3 linked regions of the Nothobranchius furzeri genome follow. The protein of the gene in region 1 binds, or shares a complex with, the protein of each later gene. Links are inferred from orthologs where the notes say so. Each region holds a gene or a part of one and is shown in the gene's direction. Other genes may lie near its edges.

Region 1 (2,814 bases):
ACTAATGTAAAAAAAGCAATATATCAAATATTTATCATTTCTATGGATTTAATAACTGAACACTTTAAGAAATCTCCACTTTCCGACTGCTGGCGCTCATTTTCTCACCGTCTTCGTCGCGCTCTCCCCTCTCTCTCTCTCTCTCTCTGTCTCTGTCTCTGTCTCTCTCTCTCTCTCTCTCTGTCTCTGTCTCTGTCTCTCTCTCTCTGTCTCTCTCTCTCTCTCTCTCTCTCTCACCTTTTTCCTCCTCCTCATTCCCTCTCGTCTCCCTCCACCTGCATGTGCTCTGCTGTGTGTCTGAGTCTGATCCTCCCTCTTCCCCGCCCCTACTGCTCTGTGTGTGGACAGTCTGGACACACAGTTACACATGCTGACCAATCGCCTGTAGCTTTCACCAAAGCAAGAGGGAAGGGGGGGGGGGGGGCACGGCTCCCAATGATGAGCCGGCTCTTAGGGCCGGTTCGTTCGCGACCGACACATCACTAGCTGGTACCATATGATGTCACAATGTTGTTGTGAGCCTGTGTGTGTGTGTATTAGTTAGCGGCTCCGCCCTCTCGGTCTGCTAGGCAACAGCATTTGTTGCATTTTTCAAACAGGAAGTGGGAGTGGAGTTAGACTCTGGTAGGGGGTGACTTGCTCTTTAAGTTAAACTAAATGAAGCCTTTTAATGATCTTGGCTTAGCAGCAGCATCATAGCAACAAACCTCTCATCCCCGAGACTGAACTTTGGGTATCCGTGGATGTGCCTGACTTTAAACCGGCCTGAAGGATCTCTCTCTCTCTCTCTCTCTCTCTCTCTCTCTCTCTCTCTCTCTCTCTCTCTCTCTCTCTCTCTCTCTCTCTCTCTCTCTCTCTCTCTCTCTCTCTCTCTCTCTCTCTCTCTCTCTCTCTCTCTCTCTCTCTCTCTCTCTCTCTCTCTCTCTCTCTCTCTCTCTCGTCGTCTTCACCTACTCCTTTGGGGTGAACTGAACTCAGTTATGGACCCTCTACAGCTCTGTGGTAGCGTCTGTTGTCCTTTTATGAGGTTTATTATGTTTGGTGGAAGTGTAGAGAGGGTCAAGGGGACATTAATCAAGCTGGTCAAGAGGGAAAGGGCAGTCCAGCACTGTCCCTTGAGGTGTGTGGAGCAGGTTTGAACCCCACCCCCAGACAGCGGGACAGACAGACAACTGAATTGTCCTCTTACTCTGTTTTTGTTATGAGAGCGCTGGAACAGCCGTGTGGTAATAAAAGTTTATTCAGGTCATTACGGACCACCAGAGGGCAGCAGAGATCTCCCTCCTGAAGGTCCACTGACCTGACCTCATGTCTCTGAGCTCAGTTCCTTAGTAAGGCATTATGGGATGTAAGGATCTTATCTTTTAAAAGAGGTCTTAAAGAAACGATGGAAGCTCTTTAACCGTGAAGCTTCAGCCAGCCTCCATCAATACTCCTTTGAGGTTCTTCTGGGTCATTTTGTTCTGTTGGGGAACCCTCCCGACGACAACAACTGTTGGACCAGAACCTGATAGTTCTGCCAAATGACCAAATGATCGGATCAGAACCCATCCTCTGGGTTGGTCTGGATGATGCTGTTCAGGAACAGGTGGGTTCTGGTCATGTGACCGTCGTGGTGTTCCGTGTGTTAAGGCTGACGCAGCGAGGGACAGCAATCAGAGCCCGATGGTTCAGCGGAACAGCTCCTTCGCCACCTCTCATGAAGTGTGGAAGTACATCTGCGAGCTTGGAATTAGTAAGGTGACTGCTAACGTCCACCAATCACACATCACGCTCGCTGTAGTCCGTGTGTCTGACAGGTGTGTGTCCAGGTGGATCTGTCCATGGACGACATCGAGACCATTCTGAACACGCTCATCTATGACGGGAAGGTGGAGATGACCGTGATTGCCGCCAAGGAGGGGACGGTGGGCAGCGTGGACGGGCAGATGAAGCTGTACAGGGGCGTGAACCCCATCCTGCAGCCCACCGGCCTCGTCAAGACGCCCTGCGGACTCTGCCCGGTAACCACACTCATTAACATGGCTGCATCCTGCTCGTGGACGCGCCTGAACTCACCTGATCCTGTCTGCAGGTGTTTGATGACTGTCATGAGGGAGGGGAAATCTCTCCGTCCAGCTGCATCTACATGACCGAGTGGTTGGACTTCTGATGGCTATTCGGCCCACTTCTTTTCTCTGTGAGGAAACTTCATTCAGCCTGCTGTGATCCACAGTTTTTCTTTTTTTTATTTATCAGTCTTAATAAAGCAGCTCGTGTGAACCGTTTGATGCTGAGATGAGTTATTGTTCAGTCTGGTGTAAAATCTGCAGGAATCTTGGACTGTCTCTCTGACAAATGAAGATGGATGAAATCCCACCATCTCCAACTCCACCTCTCTAAAACTGAACTACTTGTCATCCCAGTGAAACCATCCATACAGCACAATATCTCAATCCAAAATCTATATCTGGCGCCTTCAAAGGCAGTTCGAAATCTGGGTGTTGTGATTGATGAACACCTGACCTTTAAAGATCATGTTGCCTCTGTTGCTCGTTCATGCCGCTTTGTGCTGTATAACATACGAAAGATCAGACCATACCTAACACAACATGCCACCCAGCTCCTGGTGCAATCTACCGTCATCTCCCGCCTCCATTACTGCAACGCCCTTCTAACTGGTCTTCCAGGCTGCACTGTGAGACCTCTTCAAATGGTCCAGAACGCAGCGGCGCGTCTGGTCTTCAATCAGCCTAAAAGAGCACACGTCACCCCTCTGTTCATTGAGCTCCACTGGCTACCGCTAGCAGCACGCATCAAATTCTAACCGCTAAC
Region 2 (3,278 bases), on another chromosome or scaffold:
TAGATTATGAAGATTTATTGCTGGTCTTAAATTTGGAAATACTTTGACAAGTTGAGCAAAATACAGTGAAATATTTTGAATATACTTTATTGACCTAACAAAATGCACAAGGTAGACGTGAGCTAATACTTCTACTGCTGTCCTCTTGTGTAACCAATATTAGGACAGAGTACAAATCACACAGCTTTAACATACAAGCAAGAAGAGACATCAGCAAGGACTTTGGGGAGATAATTTTGTCTTTGCTCTAATAAAAACTGTAATATGCAGTGATCTGCTGTTTTTACTCCATTGGAAGCTTGCAAATTGATTCATAAACACTTTGTAGTGCAAATGGGATCCATTTGAGTTTTAATAGGTATCTAAATAGACTGTTTGGAAATTGCAGGTGAGGTGTGTGTCCAAACTTTTGACTAAAGTAACAAAAGCTGCACAATGTATCACAAAACATCATCACTGTGACTGCTTCAGTGGCACACAAAAACAGCTTGATTCACAGTAGATGGGGACATGTTCATGTGACTGAATCTCCTTAATGCTATTGCTGAAAACACACCAGTGGTGAGTGATGTGTGGTAACAGAGTGAGGAAAATGAGGATTTAGCACAACTGTTATCGTCATCGCAATACCCAACGATATTGTAACAGTGTGATTTACTAAATCCTACAAAAGTATAATCCTGGCCCAAATATCTTCTACAATCGTCATTGGACTTTAAAAATAAAATAGACCAGCTCCAATGAGTGAATCTCAAATAAAGGTGACAACACACGTTTTCCTTCAGAGTAACTGAGGGCACTCAGAAATAACACCTGGATTGGCAGGTCGCAGAGTAAAGGGTCCTGCACAAGTCGAGCAAGTCCTTCTTCAAAAATATCCAGGATCTCAGAGTGAGGGAGAGAATCTTCATCGTCCTCCTCCTCAGCAGCTGCCTCGTTTAGGAAGCTCTCCTTTTTCACCTCCTCATCCTGCACTAGTTGCGCTCCTTCACCTCCTTTGACTACAGCAGAACCTGGACTCTGCTCCTCCTCCATCCGATAATCATCCAGCTATTGGGTACCTTCCGGGTTTCCTGCTAGAAAACGTCGTCTGGATACAATTTACCTGGACAACAATTACAGGTTTACTTCAAAACTGCTGCTAAAAAAGAAGAATTAGAACAGCAAAAGCCCGTATGTAACTGTGTGCAGTACAAACAAACTACCGGAACGGAAATGGACCTTATGTAAAAGGTTCCACTTGATGAAAATAAAAATGAACAGCTGCGTTAACATTTGATAAATACGTATTCTTATCATAAATTAATAACATTCATTTTAATATAGAATTGTTTACATACAATTAGGCATGTTGTTTAAACGATTAGCGACTTCCGGTTGTTTCCGTTCGAGCTGTTTTCATCAGTCGACTTCCGGTTTTCTCTACGCAGCAGATGGTTTCTGGTGAAATCACATTTAGATTCCATTTAGTTGATGGTTTGCGACCAAATTGATTACATTTAAAATGCTACTCTTTTGCCCTACCTGTGGAAACGTTTTGATCGTAGAAGAAGGACAGAAGTGTATGAGGTTCGCGTGTAACACCTGTCCTTACATACACAACATCACAAGAAAGGTAGGAGTCACCCGTAACTAAACCAGGTTTCATCATCTAGTTGGTGTCAGAAACACAAAATATTTGTCGTTAGGTTTGTAAGTTTAAGGTCTTGTTTTATTTCTCTTGAAGGTAAACAACCGAAAGTATCCCAAATTAAAGGAGGTGGATGATGTTCTCGGTGGGGCTGCTGCGTGGGAGAACGTGGATTCAACTGCAGGTAAATAACATTAAAATGACTTCCTGGAGTCTGCATACAAATGTTTAGCATATTCTTTAGTTTTAGTTAAGTAATTAAAGTGTTTTAACGCCTAAAATGAGAAAAGTGTACTTCCAATTTTCAATTATACAAACGGATTAATCCAGGATTTTCAGTTTTTCTTTTTGTTCAAGCCAAACCATTCAACAATCCTGATATCCTGTATCTTTATTTAGGTCATAGTAGAATTGGCTAGATGCTTAATAAACTATTATTTATCTCCTTAAAACAATTCATGATCCTTAAACAGGATTAGTGATTTCTTAAGATTAACATTCTTAAACTAAAACCTGGACATACCAGAGGTATTTGGGGTATAAGATGGTACATACCGGTGTGGCCTCTAAGCTGACATATTCCTTCTCTATCTCTGTACAGAAAAATGTCCCAAGTGTGAGCATCCTCGGGCGTATTTCATGCAGATTCAGACCAGATCTGCTGATGAACCCATGACAACTTTCTACAAATGCTGTAATGCCCAGTGTGGACATCGATGGAGAGACTGAAAGTTTTCTACTTGTAGTTATTTCAAATGTTCAGATGATTTCTGGCCTGGTTTTCCTTTTCTTCTGTATTTATTTGCACCATTTACTTTCCAGTTGTGATAAATGTTCCACATGACAAAGTGTTTACTTCATGATTTTTATTGGTAAAATAGCGCCTGTGTACAGTCACATAAATTGCGTACATAGTTGTACATCAGACATCTGGAGCGATGCAGACCAGCAGTTTTCACAACATGACTAAAGTTCCATTACAATCCTTCACAAAATGTGTTTTTTTGTTTTATATTTTGCACAGATTTTTCAGTCTTGAGGAAAAAAATATGCACAGAGTCGGAGCACATCAATGATTATTACTAAAGGTATAGCCCAGGCAAACTGCGAGAAGCATTAGTGGCTGATGTATCCCACATGCTGAGATGATTCACTGTTAGTGTTCAGAATCACTTTTGCAAAAGGTCTAATTCAACAACTTCATGAAGCTCATTAAAATCTCACTAATCAAATGTATTTCATTTCATCTAAGCGAAGAACCTTCATTTAGGTGAATCCTTAATGGCTTAGTACTCAGTTTTTAAAACCTCTTAAGATCAGCTAAATCTGAAATGGTGCTGCATGAGCCTGACAGAAAAACACACACCAAGATGTCATGCTTTCGTTTTTAAGTGATTAGCTTGTCTATCGCCTTCAGTACACTTGTGGACCATTCCCATCTGTACCGGGTCGGCCCGGGCCGGGTAGCGTAGGTTGTTTACATATCTGGGTGGCCTGGTATTTTTCCGGGCCAACCAAGGCTCATTCTCAGCCCTCTTCTCGAGGGGGTCTGCTTCAGGCCGACCAGGGCCAACACACCCACTGCTGACAGCAACTTCACACCTTCCATTAGAGCAAGCCTCTGATTGGTGGGTAGAATCAGCCCACA
Region 3 (3,759 bases), on another chromosome or scaffold:
GGTTGGGCATCGAGCATCGATTGGAACGGGGACCAACTGTTAGTTTTTCCCGGAATCGTTCAAATTTTTTTATTTAGATTCCAAGTTTCGATTCCTAGAATGCCGACGGAAGAGGAATCCGCAGCTGATCTCCGTGAAAAATAAACGTGATCTACCAACGCTTTTCAGATCTGATCACACCAGCTTTCTGTGTGCAGTACCGAGTCCCCCCTCCCCCCACCTGGCGCGCAGCGGCCAAATATAAACAAACGTGTCCGCCGAACTTTTACTCCGTAATGTAAACTTTAACTCCTGCAGCGTAGAGGAAACGTGTTAAAATCATCAACACGGTGGATTTAATAGAAGCTTTAAAGAACAAACTCTGGACGGCGTGAGGTGAGTTTGTCTCACTGCAAAAATAAAAACACACACGGAGCGTCAGCAGTCAGACGCAGCCGCTCACCAACACTCGTGTGTGTGCGTGCGCATCAGAAGGCTGAACAATAACCTGTAGAATAAAGTCTTCATGTTAGAGAAGCTTCTCAGTGGTGGACCACACCAGCTTCTGCCACAATAAATACTCATGATAATACTAATAAATCACACACAAAGTTGTGAACATTTTAATTTCCTTTCTGAACTATTTCTGTTGAGTATTTTAATGTTTAAAATCTGTTAGATTAGGAAATCTGGCTCAGCTCCCTCTTCACCACGACAGATCGGCTCACTGCAGACGCCGAACCAATCCGCCTGTCGATCACACACACACACACACACACACACACACACACACACACACACACACACACACACACACACACACACACACACACACACACACACACACACACACACACACACACACACAAGCAGACCTTTCGAGACTTTTTTCTCCCCTCACATTTGTGTCGGCGGAACCTTTATCCATGCTCTCCGTTTCCCCACGGAAGGTGTAACAACGTACCGCAGTTCCGGGCGCATAAATGGAAGTGTAAGGATTTCATTTTTACCTTTCATTTAGTTTATTTTAGCAAGAGACTTTGCTAAGTAGCTGTTGTGAATTGTGTTTTTAACAACAACTATAAGCCGTAGTTTTCAGTTTTTGGTTTATTATTGATGGATGAAAGCGAACAGAGCTAGCGAAACAGCAGAGACACATTTTCAGTTCGGTCTGGGACGAAAAACTGTTCATCCTAGCTTATTAAAATTTAAAAACAAAAAACGAGTCAGTATTAACCATTAAAGCCAAACAACACGGTCCTTTTGTTATGACTGAAGACTTTTTTTCTAAAGTCTTTTTAATTCTTTTAAATGAAACTTTTAGCTGATTTTTATTTATTTATTTTTACTAAACGATTCGTAAATGGTCAGAATAATATTTTACTCTCGACTGCATTTTTATAGGTTTAATTTCTTAACCCACATGGAGACAAAAAACGCATTAATCATCTTAACTGTTCATTCCTCTATATTCCGAGTTGATGGTGGACAGGGGACAGCTCTCTAGTCCATCACAGAGACACATGCACTCACTCACAGGTAGAGACAACTTAGAGTCAACAGTTAACCTGAGATGCATGCGTTTGGTCTGTGGGAGGAAACAGAGTATCCATACAGAGAAAACACGCATGCAGTGGAGAACTCCACAAAGGCTGCAGCTGGAATTCGAACCTGCAACCTTTTCGCTGTGAGGCAGCAGCACCAGCTCCTCCCTTCCATGCAGCTCATAACAACTACATCAATTCAAAACTTTCAACTTTTTGTGTTTTCAGCAAAAATTCAAGTGCTGCAATGCTCAGCAACTATGAGGTAATATAGTCGGTTTACCCTCGCATGACGTGTTATTCACTGTTCAGTCAAACAGATCAGTTTGTAACTTTTACTTTCTTTTTTTTTACTGCTCAGGTGTTCAAACTTCTCATAGATCTGAAGGAACAGAGGAAAGATGGGGGGAAGAGCAAACACAGTGCCGGGCAGCAGAACCTCAACACTATCATGTATGAGGTCAGGTCACATCTCTCTTCCTGCATTTATATAAATGTTTTGGTCATATTTATTACAAACATAATCTCCTGTGGGTTCGCCATCAGACACTTAAGTACCTGTCGAAGACGCCGTCCAGCAGACAAAGTCCTGAGATTGTCAAGGAGTTCCTCACCACCATGATGCCCCACAAACTCACAAAGTCAGTGAGATCTAATAAACATTTTATTTTGATTTAGTTGTGTTGATACGATGGACATTGTCTTAACATTTAGCCTTTTTCTGTTAATCTGATTTGTTTTTGTCATCATCAGGGCAGAAAAACTTCAGCTGTTGAACCACCGACCTCAAACTGCAGTAGAAATTCAGCTAGTGAGTCTCGTTAAATTTGTTAAAATTTGTGCAAAACGCAACCCAACCTACCAGGCTACCAGTAATAACCGGTGAAATCCACAGTAGCTCTGCCTGCCAGCTCTGCAGTTTCTTTAATCTTTGATTGAGAAATATTAAATAGCATTCAGACCTAGACTGAGTAAAAAATAAACACACACTGTGGAAATTAAATGTTTTTGTTGAATCAAGACACCCAAAACAGAATTTAAACTTTAAAAATGTATCGCAACACAAGGAAAATATTATTTTTTTAATTTTAATCACGCTAAGAGTTTGGTGCGTGGCATTTGAACTAGCTGCTATTTTATCCTTTGTTAATTATAAAAAAGTGGTTCTTTTAAAGGTGTGGAACACTTTTAGTGAATATTTCTGATTATAATCGGTCTCTGAGTTTTTCATGCAGGCTGAACATGAAAATAGTCTCCTACGTCTATCTGCTGCATTAGCTTCGGATGGAAAATAGACGGTGAAACTCTAGGATTAGAAAAGCCTGACAGATCTAAGTCACACTGTCACTTAACATTAATGGACTCACTCATCTTGATTCATGACGGAGAAGGCTGTTGTTGGCTTAGCGTCCAGGAAACGGCAGAGAATGTCTCAGCTAGTAGAAGCTAACCATTAGCAACTCCACCACACAGCAAAAGCTCCTCCAGGCTTGTGTTACTTGTGGAGATGATAATCAGTGGTAGAGTCGCATTGCTGTTGTAGTGTATCGATAGTTACATCTCTTACGTAGGAAACCATCAAAGGTGAGATTCCTTAGAAAATATGGAATCAATTTGATGTATCTTTGAATACTACCTTTAATCAGAAGATATGAACTTTTTATTGCAGGGATTAGGTAATAATTTGTAATAACCCAGAGTCAAAGAGAGAGACAAGTTTTAAAGTTTAAGAAGATTTATTTCTAAACAATTTAAAACAAGGCTAACTCTAACTTTAACTCTAAAGCTTGGTTTATGCTTGACGCATTCACTTTCCGCTTGGTGATGCGGCTCGCGGATGGAACGCGCTTCACAACTCGCAGCGTTTATGGTTCGTGCGGCTTGTCTCTGCGGTGAGCCAATATTCTCCCAAACTGAACGGGGCAACATGGAGCTCTACGGCATGCATCTAACACTACACCATAGTAGAAGTAAAAATTACTATTTACAACATGGCATTTCAGCATTTTTAACAGCGTCCTCGTCTTTTCTGACAGTGCGAGCTATTTCTCTCCAAGAATGATTAACAACATGTTGATCACGGTGATCTTTGAGAGCTAAATCATACAAATGTCTGTATTTACGAACCTCTGCCATACTAGTTCTAGCCGGTCCGCCATGTTTTTCCACGTCCGACCGTCCGCGTGGTTAGAAATTTTCCCTAGGTGCGCGTTGCAGAAATTTTGGGCTGTGCGGA

What was found. Proteins that work in one complex are often made in the same cells at the same time.
Region 2: polr3f (region 1) and polr3k share a complex: the UniProt entries of both Homo sapiens proteins name them as parts of the RNA polymerase III complex. The link is inferred for Nothobranchius furzeri from reciprocal best matches to the Homo sapiens genes POLR3F and POLR3K.
Region 3: polr3f (region 1) and crcp share a complex: the UniProt entries of both Homo sapiens proteins name them as parts of the RNA polymerase III complex. The link is inferred for Nothobranchius furzeri from reciprocal best matches to the Homo sapiens genes POLR3F and CRCP.

What each region holds. Positions count from the first base shown.
Region 1 is NC_091746.1:29,572,762-29,575,575, reverse strand, and holds the end of polr3f (DNA-directed RNA polymerase III subunit RPC6), read left to right. Parts: intron 1-1,632; coding exon 1,633-1,740; intron 1,741-1,811; coding exon 1,812-2,003; intron 2,004-2,074; coding exon 2,075-2,152; 3' UTR 2,153-2,267; downstream 2,268-2,814. UniProt on the Homo sapiens protein: DNA-dependent RNA polymerase catalyzes the transcription of DNA into RNA using the four ribonucleoside triphosphates as substrates.
Region 2 is NC_091745.1:3,876,538-3,879,815, reverse strand, and holds polr3k (DNA-directed RNA polymerase III subunit RPC10), read left to right. Parts: upstream 1-1,361; 5' UTR 1,362-1,504; coding exon 1,505-1,615; intron 1,616-1,726; coding exon 1,727-1,814; intron 1,815-2,231; coding exon 2,232-2,359; 3' UTR 2,360-2,629; downstream 2,630-3,278. Other genes in the region: snrnp25 (U11/U12 small nuclear ribonucleoprotein 25 kDa protein), read right to left, coding at 814-1,035. UniProt on the Homo sapiens protein: Core component of RNA polymerase III (Pol III) which synthesizes small non-coding RNAs using the four ribonucleoside triphosphates as substrates. Can mediate Pol I proofreading of the nascent RNA transcript.
Region 3 is NC_091750.1:56,809,882-56,813,640, reverse strand, and holds the start of crcp (DNA-directed RNA polymerase III subunit RPC9), read left to right. Parts: upstream 1-847; 5' UTR 848-962; coding exon 963-970; intron 971-1,751; coding exon 1,752-1,788; intron 1,789-1,884; coding exon 1,885-1,983; intron 1,984-2,069; coding exon 2,070-2,164; intron 2,165-2,276; coding exon 2,277-2,334; intron 2,335-3,759. UniProt on the Homo sapiens protein: DNA-dependent RNA polymerase catalyzes the transcription of DNA into RNA using the four ribonucleoside triphosphates as substrates.